Linked DNA regions of Struthio camelus. The protein of the gene in region 1 interacts with the protein of each later gene in a biochemical or structural test. Links are inferred from orthologs where the notes say so. Each region holds a gene or a part of one and is shown on either strand. Other genes may lie near its edges. The genes, in order: SH3GL2 and SYNJ1.

Region 1 (9,458 bases):
AGCAAGGTACTATGGAAAGAACAGATACCTTGGTTTCTGTTGAGCACTGTGACAAAAAGCCCACAGTGAGTTAACAAACACATGCTGTGGAAGTTTACCTTCAGAGGATTAGTACTGCAGCCAGTTAGGCTTTGCATACTTCATAAAGAAGAACTCTTTCATTTTATAGGAAACCTGAGCTGTTAACCATCCATTTATTTATTGTGTTTGGAAGAGCAATAGCACTTGAGTGCTAGATACAAAGCTTTTTATCTTTTTTTTGGGAGGTGTGTGTGTATGTGAAATGAAATGGCTCCTGTAATTCAAACCAGTGGAAGTCATTTATGTCCTGCTTCTCTTCGTATTAGATAGTTCTGTCTTCCACTGCTCCGAACTTTTTCCCTGTATTTTGTGTGTTTCTACCTTCAGAAGCTGCCAGGATAGTTCCTCTTTAGCAGAGGAATTAATTTTTTGAGAGATAAAGAATTTTTTTTTGTTTTCTTTGCGTCTTGCAGTTGTATGTTCCATGCCCATGCTGATGGCCTTTCTTACTCTTTTTTTGAATTAAGCATTGGTTTATGTACATAAGATTATTCTGTGCCTGCTGATTTACATTCTCTGGATTCTCCCGTCTTTGCTAGATCACCTGTTGCAGAGTAGCTCAATGGATTAGATGTTGAAAGAGGACTTTGATATTTAAGTTTCAGTTTCTGTCTGAGCTACACAGTTCCTGAACAACTGTGCATGACTGACTAAATAGACCCTGGACCTTGGATTCCCATAAGTTTCTCATAAGGTCCTTATCACAGCACCATACGTACCTTTGTAAATATACAAATTCTTCCCCAGTGAATGAAGATTTAAGTACATTTTGGTATTTAGAAATTACTTATTTAAAAAAGTAGTATTCATAAAGCCTGATAGTTTCTTTTTAATTACATTGACCTTAGGCTTTCAATATGCTTATGTTATCTAAGTGCTGAATACAGTGTTTTGCTTTCACTGAGGATTTTTCAGGAATCTAGAATGCCAGGAGAATCATATTCTCCTGGAATTTGTATCTGAATTCTCTGACTCAAGCACATTTTCCTAAAGTTCTCCTTTCATTTGTGGCACAATCTTTCACGGGCAACTTATTAAGGGATTTTTACTATGCCTTATGTCCCTTAGCACTGTTGAAAATATTAGCTAGTTGAATCAAAAAAAAAACTTTCTGAAATGGAGCTTGTATCAAAAACATATAGGTCAAATTCTTCAGGATCTACTGAGATTAATTAGAATTTTTCCATGTATTTCACACAATGACCTTCAGACTGTACCACCTCGCACAATAATAACATATAGTTTCTTAAAGAGATATTCAGCTTGCTCAGAATTTGGATGAGAGATTTGCAAAGTAAACTCAGGACACTGTAGCGGCATTCTTCCTTATGACTGGAGTTTCCCAGTATGAGTTAGTGAATGCTGCTGCAGATTTAGTTCTTATTGGCTTTAGAGCTCTGTCCTGAGCAGTAGAGTTGCAATTTTAGATTATCTCATTTATGAAAAGACTTACAACAATCTGGGGGCCATTTGATCCCATGTCACTGCTGGAAGGTCCCTACATTTTTATCTCTAAGACCTTAACAGACCTTTCATCTGTAAATATCGAGGTCTTCTAGAGCTTTGCTATGCCTCTTCATCTCTAGACAATGGAAATTAGATCAAAACTCAGATCCCTGTGGATGACCTAGCTGTGTTGCCCCTTGACTCCCTCTATGTAAAATGGATATAAATTCCTTTGAGTGAAATATGAAGGAAAATTTGAGAATTAAGCTAAGAATGGCCAGAAAATATGACTGAAACATCACTGGAAGGGAATGAAATGAAGATTTAGGGAAAATAAATAGGCATGTTTAGTATGTCCTTGCTTGGATGAAGTTAACAGAAGCAGTAGATGGAAATCAAGTTGCAAACTGAACAGGAACAGTTCTAGATTGTGTGTTAAAGGAAATATTGTTTATAGTCATGTTCAAGTGGTGCATAAAATTAATGGAAAACTTGTTCTGCTATCAGACTTTAGATTAACACCGTACAAGGGTGCAAATTGTTGCTACAACATCAAGAATTTATATTATAACTTAGACAGAGAGCCAGAAAGGACTCTTCACCACATTTTGCTGAGTAATGTAGTCTAGACGACTGGGTTAAGATATGGTTTTCAGAAGTGTGGTATCCTATTAACTCTGGTTATGTTCACTTGCTAATGTTTCTGAAAATGTTTTCTGATAATGTTTCTTGAATTAGGATCTTAACATTTGAACTACCCTGAATTAATTGTTGCTTTGAAGATCTAGTAGGGGATTTTAGGGGGAGTGGGAAGGCTGTTTTTTGCTTGTATGCTTTTTTGCTTTCTTTAAAAAACTGAAGAGAGCAGTCAAGGAATAGTTTGTTAGTAAATGATTGGGCAACTGGTGGAATAGAGAGGGATACTGTTATTCTAAAATCTTCAGAACGATATTATCATGTAGATTAATAAAAGTGCTTCTTGTACGATCATGATTGAACTATCAGTATTTACAAAATCATATTACAACTCTTCATGAATCAAAATAGTAATTATTTCTGACACATATGGGGAATCTCCTATATGTTACTGCCCATTGTACTTGCACAATAGGTTTAAGTTAATAAAGATTTTTTTGTTAAAATCATCAGATAATGACGAATAATAAATACAAATATATTAATACAAATTATTAAGTACATGATATATTTTATATATTTATACTAATAAATACTGCTAGAAGTAGCAGGCAGTTCTAAACTTACAGAATGGACCTTATTTTATAGAATAAGACTGATTGATTAACAACTAAAAATTGTAATGTATATGCGTGAAAGAGGACCGGGATTGCAACTACAAAGGTACTTACCGCATTTTGCTATTGCTCGGGTATGCAGCCATGACATTTTCTTTGTTCTTTTCTATTATTAGAATTTTTAGTTGGCATAAGAAATAAAATGAAGTGCTTAGCCTATTACATGTCTTTGTGTCGAAATGGCATTTGCAGTTGGTATATGTATAGTGCATAAATATGTATATATTACAAAATGTGAGACTGTACATTATAAACAACTATCATTTGTTATAGTTTACTGTGGTTTATAAAAAAAAAAATCATCTTCCTGAAGCTGATTCCAAGCGTTATTCATGTAGATTGCTCCAAGAAAAGAAGTCACAAGTGAATGATATACTGGACTGAAGAGCAGATATAAAATGAAGTTCTTATTCTCTGGCTGACAAGTATCACAATTTAATTTAGTCAAAGCGGTTGTAACTCCATGGACATGGACACATATAAATCTTGTTTTAATACTAGCATGTTCCACTCCCAGGAATATAGATGCTCTAAAAAAAAGCGTAAGCACAGTCAGAAGTGTAAGATTGGGCTGTGAGAATCCATGTGCGCAAAACCACCACCATAAGGTGAGTCAGGGCATCCAGCTACTGTTTGGGATGATTTTCAGATGGGCAACATACTAGTAATTCCAATCAACACTCACTGTGAGCTGCGGGGGCATAACACTTTTGAAAATGAAGCGCTCTGTCTCCAGCTTATCACCTAAAACCTGAAAGTGGTGGACCCCTCATAGGCCCACATTGTCTCTTATTTAGTCTCTTATTCATTTATCATATAAAATGTTTATCACACAAGAAAGTACTTTTCTGCCATACCACTGGCAGCCTTCAGATCCTGAAATTTAACCATTTTATTTCAGTTACCGCATAACAGAGGAAAAATATTGTTCATTTCATATGTTTATTTTATATAAATAAATAATATTACACCATTTCTAGTTCTCATAGGTCTATTTTCTACCTCTTGCTGTACTTGCAGACTACAGAGCCCTGTCCCAAGAACTATGCACAACATGAGTTTTCTGTTAAAGGCACAACGGCTAGTGCAAGAAACTCCCAGTCCGGACCTTGAAATTCCAGATAGTCTCACTTTTCAACCTCTAAAATCACATTAATACTAAAGTGAATGCAAGCGCTTCTTCTGCTCCGCGTGTATTTGGGACCAGGCCAGAAGGTGGTGCCTACTTGCCCATGGCAAGGCTATCACAGTTTCCCACTCTCTGATGAGCAGAGCAATGTTCTTGGTTTGTCTTTCTTCCTGATGAAAGCCCTCTGGTAACGATCCAAATGCACCAATGGGACTTTGGTGTCCAAGATCCCGCCCGTCGCTGTAAGACACTCATAAGAACAGCAATAAGTCACTACATCCCTGTGATCGAGAGGCGTCGCGTTGTCCCTGGACCCAGGTATGTGGCCCAGCTGCTTCCCCACACCCCGCAGAGCGGAGGCCGTACGTGGGACCGGACGGTGCTCCAGTGCACCTCTCCTCGGTGCCGGTCACGGGACCGAGCGCGTGAGGTACACCACGGTGAGTCCACGTACAGCTTAGAAACAGCTTTCAGTGCTTCTGAAAATGTGTTTGCTGCCTAACTAGCTCGTGTTGAATCTTTGTAGTAACAGAATTACAAAGCCAACACAGCATGGCTTCTTTCGCCCAGCTGATAAAACATGAGTTTTGTGCAAGTGCTCATCTCTAGTCGGGTAACGGCAACACACATATGCAGGGACTGGTCCAGCCTGCAGAGAGCATTTGGATCACATTGCTCACATTGTTTAGGCTTTTGCTGGCATAACCCGATCAATCTTAACTATTGCTCTGTTAGCGCTTATAATCTACAGGACTGAATTGCTGAAGTACAGGATATTGACTTTTTTCTGGCTGTGCGGGTTTTCGCTTCGAGCCAGTACCCGTACCAGCAGGTCAGAATAGGCAGGCTTTAGATTTGCGCTCCCACATGTCACTCGGACGTTGTGAAGGGGCAAGAAAAGGGGGGACCCCGGTGAGCCAGCGTTAGACCACAGTCAGTGGCCGGAGCGTTGCCTGGCCAAGGCCAACCAGGCCCGAGGACGGCAGCCTGGTGTGGCCAGCCGGACCACGCTCATTGCCCGCCCGCCTTTTCGCGTGACTGCCCCGTCCTCCCCCTCGCCGCGGGCTCATTTCCACGCAGGACGCCGCGGCGGCGAGGCGCGGACGCCGCCGGCCGTTAGAGCGCGGGGACGGGGGGGAGGGGCGCGGGGGGGGGGGGCAGGGCGTCCCCGCTCGCCCTTTAAAGGGCCGCGCGCGGCCGGCCCTGACGTCACGGCGCCCCGCACCGCGGCCGCCGCCTGAGAGGCTCCGCGGGCGCGCGGCTGGCGCGGCGCGCGCGGGGGCAGCGGGCAGCGGGCAGCGGGCAGCGGGCAGCGGGCAGCGGGCAGCGGGCAGCGGGCAGCGGGCAGCGGGCAGCGGGCAGCGGGCAGCGGGCAGCGGGCAGCGGGCAGCGGGCAGCGGGCAGCGGGCAGCGGGCATCTGGGCTCGGCTCGGCTCGGCTCGGCGCGGGTGCAGCGCGCCGCCCTCGCCATGTCGGTGGCCGGGCTGAAGAAGCAGTTCCACAAGGCGACCCAGGTACGCGGGTGCCAGGCGTGTGCGTGGGGTGCTCGGGTGGTGGCGGTGGCGCGGTTGGCCTCCGGTGCGTGGTGCCCGGCTGGGCGGCGTGCAGGGAGGGCAGCGCAGGATGTGTGGGGCTGCGCGGGTGTGCAGGCTGTGCGGGGGAGGAGGCTGCGCGGCTGTGCACGGGGGTGCAGGGTGCGTGAAGATGCTTGGGTGTGCATAGGTGAACACGGGTGTGCGTGGGTATGCATGAGTGTGCACGGGGGTGTGTGCTGTGCATGGGTGTGTGTGGGTATGCATGCGTGTGCTGTGTGGGTGTGTATGAGTGTGTGTGAGAGCACGGGTGTGTTGTGGGTATGCATGAGTGTGAATGGTGTGCGGGTGTGCATGGAGGTGCATTGTCCACTAGTGTGCATGGTGTGTGTGTGTGGGTATGCATGGAGGTGCATTGTGCATGGGTGTGTGGGGGTGTGCATAGGTGTGCACAGGTGTGTGCTATGTGTGGGTGAGCACAAGTGTGCATGGGTGTGTTTGTGTGGGTATGCATGGGGGTGCACAGTGCATGGGTATGTGTGGTGTATAAGTGCCCACCAGTGGGTGTGAGTATGCATGGGGGTGCACGGGTGTGAGTGGTGCATGAGTGCACATGGTGTGAGAGTGCACATAAATGTGCAGGTCCTCAGCTGCCCTCTGCCCCCTGGACTTCCCCCCCCCCCCCAGCCCCTTCTAGTGGGGTATGGGAGCCCCAGGAGTGCAGGGGCAGGTCCTGGGCCGGTCTGTAAGGACCGTGCTTATGTGGGGGAACCTCACTGCAGTGGGGCAGCTGTTTGGCAGAGATCCCCACTCAGGCCTTGGACCTCCAGCTTACACTGGCTTCATAAATCAGCAAGAAATGTGCCATGCTTCCTTGCCCTCCCCTTGCCCCCCAGTACAGCCAAAATCTGACTAATACAAGAATGAGTGGAAACTGCGACTTGTCCCTGCCATGTAGTTACACCAACAGCCCTTATGACCATGAGCGCAATGGGATACGTCAGGCTCTGCGTGGGCACACGCGTGCATCAGGTGACATTGTGTCTCAGCTTTCATACCACATTGTGCTGCATTGTTGGTTAAATGCCCTTCACGGAAACCTGCTACACTCATGACACGTGCTGTAAGGTACATCTAGGGCACCTGGGTCCATACTGCAGTGTCTGCTGCTGCTACTACTTCATTTGTTATTTATCCCCATGCTCTCTAGTGCTATTAGAAGCCAGGGAATCATCTTGTACCTAAAATAAGAATTGCAGGATCTGTGTCAGCCCTGTTTAAGAAGCAGGCAAACTGAAGTACACTTTTTAAAATAACGTCAGCTACTTATTCTCCTTTATTTAAGTTATTAAATACGCCTGCAAAGCAGCAGGGGTAAACTCTTTTTTGGACAGAGCACACTGTAAAAGCTGTGTGCATACTGGTCTATCCTTCAGATGACACTCTTGCACTGACTGCCGGGATTCATTTTAGCAGCAGTAGTGTCATTTGGAAGGAGAAAGAGTTTAACTGATTGGAACCAAAACTGTAAAATTCTGAGGCCAAATTTAGCAGCCTGACATCAGATGACCTACGGATTTTTGGGCCCAGCCTTGACTTTCACAGATTATGTGTACACAGGCCACAAAGACACATTCATGTATGAAAATGACTCACAAATAAGGTTGCAAAACTGGCCTGCTTATTGGCTTGTTTTCAGTGTGAGTGAGAAATCAAGGGCTCAGTCCTGCTGACCTTGCTCTAGGGAGTAATCCTTATGACTAGGGATTAATCTCTATGTGGAATGTGGATTGATTTTTGCCAGTACAAGTGAAGCTTTCTAGATAAGACAAAAGAACTGATTCAAAGTTTTAGAAATTCCAAGTCATTTCCTTGGTTCTTATTCACATTAAAATTCCAACTAATGTGTCATAATGTAGCCCTAAATCATACAGGGAACAACTTCAAGTTGTTTCTGAGGTTGCTGTGTTCTTTAGACTGATTTAGCCTTCTGCAGACCTTGGTTTGGTTTCTATTGTTAATGTCATTATTCTTGTTGTAACATTAGTATGCCATATACATACAGACTTCATGATTATCAGTGTATAATAGTATTATTGCAAAATATAGTTCCCATCAAAAATACAAAGACTGCTGGCACTATTAAATACTGATGTTCTGTTTTTAACTAGAAGTCATGTAGCAGGACAGGAAGTTCAAGCCTGACAAATTCCTTGCAACAGTGGCAATAGCACTAAGTCATTGCAAAGCAGGAGGAGACTTTGCTTCTTCTAGAATGAATGGAGTATTCACAACACTAATGGCTTTACCTTGATGCAGCACCATCAAGTTCAGAGGAAGTACTCCTGAGTTTGTAGAAGTAAAGAGAAGCCAGGAACTATTTCTACGGGTTTGTCTGTAGTTTTAAGAACAGTTGAGTAGTTTTGGATGGTACAGATTTCAGTGTAGGGCATTTGGAGAGAGTTATTTTAAAATTGCATGAGCTTTGTTTCCACGTGACTACATTCATCACAAAATATGGCATTTGGGAGGCATATTCAAAACTAAACACTCACAACGTAATGATTCTGTAGGGAAAGAAATGATTCTGTAGGGAAAGAAATGAACAAAAACCTTGGGAATGGCCATGACCAGGATTCCCCTGGGAACCAGTGATTGATGCTTAAATAGCAATCTGAATGGAATGATTTGACTCAAAAGGCCTGGACTGCAATTTTACCTGGGCTTCTACCTTTGTATTTTGCTTTTTTGATACAACATGATTTAATTTAATTGGTTTTAACCAAGGTAGAAGTCAAATGCATAGGTATTTTTATGGAAAACCCAGGATTCTTACTGGAAGAAACAGCTGAAGAAAAGACTTCCAGTGGGTCATCAGGAGCTTGTTACATGCCCAGCCTTTCAGATGGAGAGTAACGTGCTTCCCTGTTTAACAAGGCAGCCTATGAAGTACACAGTAAGAGATTAAAAGAATAACCCTAGTCTTTAATAAGAAGCAAATGAGGCTCCAGTCCTACTATGCTATTACCCAGGTAGTAAAAATCCTTAAGGCTTCAAAGGGATTCTGGGCTAATTCAAATCTTTCTGCCCACCTAAGTTCATTTGCAAGAAGAGTGTATTAGTGATGAGGCAGAGGTTGAAAGTCATGGGTGTTTATACATGTAGTGTAGTAATAGTGTCCTCAAAGAGGGTCTGCTGATTAGCAGGATCCAGGAAAGGTCCTGAGTGTATGCATCACCAAAGACTTGTGAGTAGTTTCAAAGAAATCAAAGGGAATATAAGTATGATTGAAGTTCATCTCTTGATGAACGCTTTTGTAGACTATCATTCATCTAGCCAAGTATTTCTTAAGTTATCTTGTGTGACTACAAAGAGGGCCAGAGAAGGTCGAATACCAGCATAGAGAGACACTCAAGGTTCATGAGGGGTTAAACAGGGTAGATTTAATGAAGGACTTACTCTCCAAGCTGCACGGGGACCCCAGGGAGCCACGTGGAGGGGTCGCTGAGGGGAAGTTGCTGGACGCGTGGTTTGGATACCTAGGCGAGACTCAACATCTTGCATCCTAAGGGCCCCTTAAATCTGCTAGAACTCTTTCCTTATCTCAGCTGTGCCAACCTTGAGAGACTGCTGTCCGGGCAGCAGCGAGACTTTGTTGACAGAACGGAATACGCGTGGCTGGCCCTGATGGGCATGTGGGCAGCGCGTGGCTTCACACACGGGGCCTGCTACCACGTACTCTGCCAGGCACTGACTCCTCGCCAGCTCTTCCGCAGGTGTGCTCACCACGCTTTGGCAGAAGAATGTATAATTTCTTTTTATATTCTTTACGGGGGGTAAAGTAATACTCCTTTATGCACATTTTCTACACTTGCTGAATTCTCAAAATACAGCTAACCGATTGTTTTATTTTCATCTTACTGATGGAGAATGTGGCTAGTGATATACTGATACCAG
Region 2 (9,345 bases), on another chromosome or scaffold:
AAGACAGCTTTGTTAACTGCTGCTGTTAAAAATATGGGCATTTTGCTCCAATTTGGATTAGGGCTAGAATAGTAAGGGAGGGATGAAGAGAATCTTCCTTCTAACTCAGTTATAAATTACAGCTGCAGAACATTTTTTTCCCTAAGTAGGTTGTAGTCATTTTCATAATTGTGTTGTGGAACAGCAGCTATTTCTCTTACCCTTGGCATCATTGCAGTAGAGGAAGGATGGACTATGTGACTATGGTGTCTTTGCCCCTGCATGCTTAGGAAGTCTCTCCTTCCTCCCCCATTAGAGTAGTATATTGTATTTGGAGAACAACATGCAAAAACTTCCAAAGTATACTTATGGTTGATAAATAATCTGACTTCCCATTTTGGGCAATGTGGCACCTTTTCTCTGTATAAATGGTTACAGTTGTATAGGTACTTAGACTTTATGTAAATAATGTTATCAAATTATATTTACAAATTCCACTTTTACTTCTCCTACTGCTTCTTACCTGTATCTTATTTATTGACCCAAATCTTAGGAGCAAAGCAGTCATACTTTATGTAATGATCTTTAAGTAATGTTACACAATTGTTTCTGGATTGAGGTATAATCCAAGGACAACTGCTTTAAAATTACTTCTCCCACAGTTGACCATGTATATCTTACTGTTCAATATCAGAATTGACAAATAATTACAACATGTTATACATGGATGTACTAGATGATGAGAGCTTGTGAGAACTACTAACATACTAAGGGACATGACAATCTTATTTCCACTCAAAACTCCATAGGGACTCTTGAGAAAGTCCAGTACTCCCTTTAGTAGTGACCACCGTTGTCTAGAACAGGAAATATGTTCAATGTGTAAGAAAATACAGCAGGTAAAACATTCAATCATTCTGAAATTTTGATGAACAGGACAATATATTACAGAATGCTTACAGGTATTTGGAATTCCTGTGGTGTGCCCTAAAGGTTATCAGTAGCAAAGGAAAAAATCTTGTCCTTTCCTATAAAGGAAAACAAAATGAAAGCTGAAATTTGAAATGGAGAAGTTTGTAGAAAAAATGTGCAGATAAGTGGATGTGTGTGATTCCTCTTTCTCCTCTCTTGAGATGCATCTCTTTCTGCACAAGTTTGCTCATCTCCAGTTCTGCTTTCAGTTCTCTCTAAGTTATTCTACAAAAACTTTTTTGAAAGAATCCTGAATATATACACCGAGGGGAGGAGAGATTTGTACCTGCAGCTTTGATGTGATGTATGGCTTTGGTATAATGACTTTGTGAGGTTTGTTGCAATATGCTGAACTCTATGTCCTTATGAATGATGATGCTTAAAAGTAGTATCCCTGTCATCCTAAGTTTATTAGTTGCCCCTATGAAAATAAAATATCCTAGAATCAGTGTTGTAAAAGGGTGTGAAATGAACAATACAGTTGATCTGACCATTGGCCTTTACATGTATAGTCACAAGCAAGACATTCCTGTGAGAGCCACCATTAAGTGGAATGTAGAGAAAAGAGAACTCTGAGGAGGCTTCAAAAAATCTTTGTTGCATGACGTGGAATGGTTCTGTTTTCTGAGAAACTCAGATAAATGAAACAAAGTGAATGGAGCACTTTGCTAAGAGTTGAGCACTTCTGCCCTGGATTTGGTACTCCAAGTAAAAATGTTTTGATAGCTGTAGAATTGTTAGTTGAATTTGTCTGAAATAACATAGTGGGGTTTTTGTTGTTGTTTGTTTTTTGTACAAGAGTTCTTAATTTCTGTATGTAACTATAACTCTTGCCCTAAATATCCAAAAAAAAAAGTGAATGGGTGCAAGATAACTGCATAGAGACACACTGAATACAAAGGCCTACAATTTAAGTCTCTGCTCCCAACAATCACTTAAACATATGTTTTTGTTCAATACGTGAATGGTCCTATTCACTCCACTTGCATTACTTTTGTGCACAATGTGCGTGTCTAAATGTTTTTATAGATCAGAGCCCAGAAGTAAAGCAGAGATATATCTCCCAAGATCTCATGTGGTATTTTCCATACATACTTAGGCCCAAATTTTCACCGCCTAAATCTCACACACATTCTTGAGAGTTTTCTGTTTGCTGTCTTCAGCCTTTTGTGATACCTAGCTAACAGAAAACATTAGGCGCAAAACTCTTAAGTGGAGCGTAGGTTGTTTGACTACAGGGCTCAGGCATTCTGGGGACACGTAGCTTAAAATCACACTTAACTTACTTATTACCATTTTACCCAAAAGCTCCAATCAGGATATGGCATTCATTGAAGTGAAGATGCTGAAACTATCATATACACACGTGGTTACTTTCTCAAGTAACAGGCTAACAGTTCAGAGAACCTGCATCCATGAACACATGAGGGATATAGCATACTCAGCTTTAAAGATTTAATGAGCAGGAGGAGTTTGCAGGAATGAGGCCTGTGATACGTGTTAGGAAGGAGATGCAAATTAAATGTAATTTGGAAGCTTTAATGTATTTGTTGTTGAAGTGCCAATTTAATTATGTACAGCACCACAGATGACCTTGAGGAAAAAGGTGTTTTGAACACTGTGTGGCATGGCAAAAATAGCCAATGGTGTCGCTGCCAGCTGTGTGTTTGCCAAGGCACTGGAGTGCTGGGCTGCTGCTGCTGCCAAGGGGAAAGGTGGGGTATGTGAAATGGCAGCTATTGCTGGGGCTGAGGCTGTCTCTCCCCATGTGTTGCAGTGGCTATGCCCTACTCCACATTTTGCAGGAGGAGCTGCAAGCCTGGCTTCCTAGAAATCTTCCTCTTCCCTTTTCTCCACCCTTTTAAGTATCCTCGTTCTGCCTTTACATATGTCTTCCTTGTGACAAAAGCAGTACGGCCCTGGGCTTCCTCATCTTTCTGGACACCATAGGTAAATCTTGCCTATGTTGCTGAGAAGCCTTGAGCCAATTCCACTTTCAGACACCAAGGAAGTTTTAAATAGGCTGTACTGTGAAGCCCATTGAAGTCAACCAAGAAGTTTCCATTGGAATCAAAGTGGATATGACTTTGTCCTTTAAGGGCCATTCTGGAGGTGAGGGCGTCATATCATTTTGACGAAACGTAACGGATGGCGAAAGCCAAGCTTTCATCCTGCTTTAGTGTCCAGCTTTGCACAGTATTAGCAACCCTAACAGATGACTGAGGCAAGGCTTAGAAATGAAGAAGTTCATTGAAAATGTCATGCCGCGCTCCCATCTTAATCATGCTTAAAGAATGTAGAATTTGCAACAAAGTACCCAAATAAAAAAGCACCCAAAGAAAACACTCATCTGCAATCCGCTTTAAATTACTATAATTTTTTTCACAGCTTTTAGCTGATGTTTTTGTACATAATCCTAAATCCTAATCAGAAAATATTTTATATTACCATGTAGCAAAATATCTCTGGCCATATGCAAAAAAAACAGCCCATCTGCATTTCTTTTATCTGCAGAAAAAGAAGTAAATATATCTAATGCATGAATTGTTTTAGCCTATCAATAGATATCAATTTAGCCATCAGTGTATGTTGTAAAACAACACTTAATTTACTGTCATGGTTAATGATCTTTATGAATGGATAAAATGAGGATAAACTTTCTTTGCTTCCACAGCAGCCACTTTGTTGTTCTCTTTTATTTTTACATTCTCGTTAGTAAAAGTTTCATGAGTTTATGTTTATTCATGCTATGCTAGAGATAGTTTTAATGTCTACCACGAGCAACTGAGAGATGTCTTCTGCACAAGCTGTAATAAGTTATTAGCAATTATGCACTAATTTCAGAAATCATGAAACTCATTTTAAAATATTTTTAAAATACAGTATTTTGATCATCTATAGAACATTTATACGGGGGTTGTCATAATGTGCATAGGAAGGTAGTCAACTAAAAATACACAAACAGTACTTACACTATATCTAACATCACAAATATTTTCTCTGCTTTGTGTTCTGAGCCACTAGATAGTATATTCCACTCAACTGGAACTTATCCCATAACAAATATATGGGATATGTCATATTTAAATATAAAAAGGCCATGCATACAATCTACTGCCTCTTTAGAATAGACTAGAGCTATTTTGGATGCAGATTTCAAACCTATTTTCAGAGTTTTAACATAAAATTTGTAAGAAAAAAAGGTCTTTTAGTTTTAAGAGTCTAAACTTTGTTAAGGGAATTGATCTTGGACAAGAAGGTAGTGCAGAAATGCTACAATCCGAAATGAAAGGTGGCCCAGCTTTGGTCACTAAGTCCTTCTAGGGTAGACAGTTACAGTATTTCACTCACTTCCATTTATGCATATTCTTCAATCTCCAAATAATAGTCTCAGTGAAGGGAGTTTCTACACAGTTTTACTGATTTTTTTCTACCTCAGCTCTCCATTCAAACTTATCCTGGCCTCAGCTTTGTCTCAAGCACAGAGTATCCCCACTTCTCTTGATTTTAGCATAGCTCTCAAGCCTGCTGTCATCTGCTCAGCAGCTTGTAACGTATCAACACAATATAGTGAAGCAGTACTCCTCCACTAAAAGGCTGCAGCGGCTGGATGGAAATTTCCAAAGAGATGTTTAACGTCTGTACCTAAAACTTTTGAAGCTTGTCAGAAAAATGCAGGCTTTAGCCATGGTTCAGTGTTCCTACCCTACCAACAGTGCTCGGAGAGCACTGGCACTGACACTTCTGTGCCCATGGCACATTTTGTGCAGGGAGGTTTTTCTGTTTGTGTCACTACTCATGAGCCTATCTGAAACATTTTTCTCTCTGCTGCATCTCTAATAAACACACAACAGAGTCTGGGGACTGATCGTGTTTCAAAGCAGCCTCACTATGACCCCACTGCATGCTCCGTTTTCAACTTTCATGTTGGCAATCCAGCATTGGCTTATGACCATGCAAAAGAAGAATTTCTCCGGAGGGCTCTCTAGTTCCTTTTTCCTAAGGAACTAGGTTTCTTCAGGCTGAACCACCACACTAGGCAGGGCTTGCCCGGCTGGCGCTGTGCTTGGTAATGCTCTGCACAGGTTTAGCCCGCCCCTGCTTTAGAGGGCACAGGGCCTTCGCAACGGATGTCACTCACAAGGACGCAGGTCTGACACAGGCTCCCTCCAGCTCCATACCGCTGCTCCCACCGTGGCGCCTCAAGCAGCAGCTCCCCGTGCTGGCAGGCCCGAGGCTGGGGGGTGCGAGGTGACACAGGAAAACACCGCAGTGACAACGGCCGCGCCCGGACCCGCTAGGCAACGAGGTAAGGACCGAGCAGCCAGCACCCCTCACCCTAACCTGCAGCCCGCCGGCGGCGGCTCCCTCACCGGCCAGCCCGGGCGCCTCAGCAAACCTTTCTTCCCCACACCTGCCTGCCTGCCTGCCCCGACGGCTGCCGCAACGGCCGCCGCGGCGGCGCTGCAACGGCCGCCCGCGAGGCTCGCGCCCCCCCGGCCCCGCCCCTCTCCACGCCCTCTGCCGCCTTCCGGCCGCGGGAGGCGCAGTGCGGAAGGGACGCGGCGGGGCCGGAGCGGAAGTGAGGTGCCGCCGGCTCCCCCGGCGCGGAGCGGAGCGGGCGGCCACAGCGGCGGCGGCAGCAGCAGCAGGTGGCGCGGCCGGTGAGGGGGGCGCGGACGGCAGCGCCGGGACGGGGGTGGCGGGGGAGGGGGCCGCGCCCGTGAGCCAACCGCGGAGCCGGCCCGGCTGCCGCCGCTGCGGAGCTGGGGCCGCCGGGGCGCCGGCGGCGGCAGACAAGATGGAGGCGGCTCTGTCAGCGCCGCGGGGGCCGGGGAGGGGCTGCGCGCACGGTGCCCGGCTCCGCTGGGACGATGGGGGGGGGCGGCGGCGGCTGGTGTCCTCGTCCCTGCTGCCCGCCAAGGGAAGGGCGGCGGGGCCCCGGGGCGGGGGAGGATGGAGAGGGGTCAGCAGCTTGTTCCGTGTTGGAGGCGCAAAGTCCGTGTGGCCGTCCGGCGCAGAGGTTACCGGCGCTGAGCTCAAGGGAAGGAACAGGGCAGGAAACGCGCTCCCGGCTTCCAGCAGAAGCCTCCCTTCGTCATCTCTTTGCTCAGCTTAAGCCCTTAAAATTTGGCTCCTTGTGTGTTTCCTTAGTAGCCTAAGCCCTTAAAAATCTGCCCCGTCCCTCTGTTCTTTATGGTTTCTTCTTTTTCCCTTTTTATTTTAGAGGAAGCTCTTACCTTTATGGCTTTTAGGCAGTTTCACTAGTACAATACTGCAATGTCTCATTCATTGGCCGCTGCAGGGGAGGGTTTCAAGCCAAACAAAACCCTGCTTTCATTAAAACAACACCAGCAGGCTAACGTTTCTGTTTGATCTTTTAAAACCTCTTAACAGCTTTCCCAATTAAACTTCGCTGTCCTTTTGTACAAGGTCAGCATCAGTAAAGTTGTTGCAAAATTTGAAGCCTGCCCAGGCTTCTGGTCCCCTTCGTTCAACATTTAGCATATGAGTAAGACAGTTGTTCTGTGTTTGTGGAGACTAGAGGAGAATCGTGTTTTCTGTTCTTCTAATAAATCATGTTTGTTAAATATCATGAAAGAAATTCAAGTTGTCTCAGAGAAGCTTTTAAATAAACCTTCTGGAGTTTATTTATATGTCGATAATCACGTTCTTGAAACATGGTTATGTTGTCTTTAATTATTCCTTATATACCCTTGGAATATGAGATTAAAAAAAAAAAGCCTCATGAGGTAAAAAGAATGAGCGTGACACCTTTTTTATGTTAAACCCATACATTTCTTAGGAAAGGATGGAAGTCAGACCTGCTTTGCAGAAGGTATCCGGAAGCACAAGAAGCTTTCACTAACATCATCTTATGTTGGACAGGACTGCCTCTGATAAAGGCAAAATGGCTTTCAGTAAAGGATACCGTGTCTATCACAAGCTGGATCCACCTCCATTCAGTGTGATAGTGGAAACCAGAAACAGAGAAGAATGTCTCATGTTTGAATCTGGAGCGGTGGCTGTACTCTGTAAGTTGATATGTTTTGATAGCTACAATGTAAAAAGTTGGCTGACTTGATATTTTGTAAGCTATGTGTTTTTTATGTATGGATTATAAACAAGGAACAGCTATTCTGTTTTCTTACTTGCTAATGGTGAGGCTTCTGCTTTAAATGAAATGACAATTTCTTCTCATCTGTTGAGAGAGAATTTTGCACTTTAAATTAGATTTCAACATGAACATTTTTTTCATGTATGCTAAATTTTCTTGTAATAAGTTACAACAACATCTGTTTGTGCCTTTGGTTCAGAACAACTTTATCTGAATACGTGATAGCTCGGTGAAAAGTGAATTCTATATGTTGTACCTCATAATAAAAAGTTCTATGTTCTTAAATGGTATATCATCATAATTTTTATCTCATTTTATGTGATGACATTTTGATGGCTTTTTGATTTTTAGCTTTATTTTGCCCAGTATTTTTTCCCATCATCAGACTTGTTGTATATTAGTTCATCCTGTAATGAAATGAGTATATATTTGGAGCAAGGTGTTCTGCATTGCCAAGTCATTTTTACGTGTTTTCAGTGATAACTGCTTTAAATATTTCTAATAAATTCTTTGGCTTTAAAATTTTTTTTAAATCAGATTTGTAGGAGGACACTAAAATGAGAAGTGCGGAAGAGAACTGTCAAATAGTTAAGGTCTTACAATGTAGTTTGGTTTATATTTTTCAGTAAGGAAAAACTTGATTGCAAAGGGGTTTCCAGGCTTGCATTTGCCTTTTATAGAAGGCTGAGGTACCGTGGATGGGTTTTTTTTTTTTTTTGGAATCAATAACTTTTTTGATGAAAATCAATTGTGATGCCTGTTCATGATTTTCTAGCCTAGCATGCTCAGAAAATGAGAGGCTTGATTCACTGCCTGAAATCTGAGGAGCTCAAAGACACACCTCTCAGGAAGGTGCTCTGGCCTTGAGACTATGGAGTGGGCCGAATGGGGAATGCAATCTTAACAAGGTCTAGCGCTATGCTGCAAAAAAAAAAAAAAAACAAAAAAAAACTAGGGTTCATTAGGCTGAAGGTAGAAAAGTCCCATGGTTAAGTATATGCCTGAGAAAGGTAAATCTCAGGGTTTAATTCCCACCCAATGACTGGATAAAACAGGAACATTTATTAGTGCATGTAAATGTAACAGTTCTGACAGCAGGGATTGATCATAGATTTCCCTATTTCATGTGTGAGTGCCTAACCTGCTGCCCAACTACTCTTACAAGACTCGGTAAGAAACGTGAGTTCCAAAGAAGAGTGGGATTCAAGCTACATTTCCTTTCTTCGGTATTTGCTGTTGGCTCTTGTAGACGTGAATGTGCTCCTTGGCTATGGCATAGTCTTTTCTGAGGCATGTGATTCTCCCTGTGTCCTTTGTAAGGTGCTTAAGAAGTCAGGCTATAGAGTCATTTGTAGTGGACAGGCTATTACAAGCAAATGCTCTCTAGCATACCGCTTAATCTGCATCTTAGTTAATGTGTGATTTGGACTAACTGTGACTAACTGTTAGAGGCCTAGTGATGGGACACACCATTTTGAGGATTGTTTTTTCCTGTTACAGCTGCTTTTTGTGGCATATCTTGTTGACATTGCCAGCGTTATTTTAAAGACATTGTGTAGTGGGCACTGGGTTGTGAGTAAGTGTCCAGTCATAAGACTAGTGAACGGTTGTAGTGAAACAAGGGAAGAGTGTTCCGAAGAATTTTGGAGTATTGGTTTTTAACATGTAGTCAATAATTAGTGCAGATGTTTAAGTTCATTAGAGAGCAATATGTTGAAAATAACTTATTCCTGAAAGTTAGGCTCAATAAAGAAAGCAAGTTTCACTTCTTATAGTATGACTTATATCGCTGGTGGTACCTTGGTGAAGATTCTCTAAAAATTCGAAATCTGTAACCATACTGAAGTTCTGGCCCTCTTCTGTGCCTTGTATTGGTATCAGACAGAGGAACGGGAACCCTGAGGAAGGTCTCCAGTCTCTCTCCTCTACTAGTTAACAGTGTGTTTGTCCTTAGTGTTTTAATTGGCATGTTACAACTTGATAAATATTTATACTTAACTGTAACTAGTTTTCCCGAATATTGTAACCTGAACTTGTAAACTGCTTCTCTCTTTCCATCTGGTGAATGAGCTTATTTTCCTAATGCGTATTAACTTGTGTTGATTTGCTTTAATTTCTTGTTTGCACATAAACTCTTTAGGCACTGAATCATATGTTTTGTTTTGTTTTTTTTATGGTTGAAAGATCATTCATCACTCTCAAGTCATCTTGAACTGACAGAAGAAGGGTAGAGTCCACTTGCTCAGGTGGTTTTCTTCTGCTTGCTATTAGCTCCT

Evidence for each region.
Region 2: the proteins of SH3GL2 (region 1) and SYNJ1 form a complex in vitro, tested with the Homo sapiens proteins (2 studies listed by BioGRID and IntAct, with this or other methods). The link is inferred for Struthio camelus from reciprocal best matches to the Homo sapiens genes SH3GL2 and SYNJ1.

What each region holds. Positions count from the first base shown.
Region 1 is NC_090982.1:23,658,212-23,667,669, forward strand, and holds the start of SH3GL2 (endophilin-A1), read left to right. Parts: upstream 1-5,331; 5' UTR 5,332-5,438; coding exon 5,439-5,483; intron 5,484-9,458. UniProt on the Homo sapiens protein: Implicated in synaptic vesicle endocytosis. May recruit other proteins to membranes with high curvature. Required for BDNF-dependent dendrite outgrowth.
Region 2 is NC_090942.1:120,014,148-120,023,492, reverse strand, and holds the start of SYNJ1 (synaptojanin-1), read left to right. Parts: upstream 1-5,497; 5' UTR 5,498-5,615; intron 5,616-6,757; 5' UTR 6,758-6,829; coding exon 6,830-6,986; intron 6,987-9,345. UniProt on the Homo sapiens protein: Phosphatase that acts on various phosphoinositides, including phosphatidylinositol 4-phosphate, phosphatidylinositol (4,5)-bisphosphate and phosphatidylinositol (3,4,5)-trisphosphate. Has a role in clathrin-mediated endocytosis.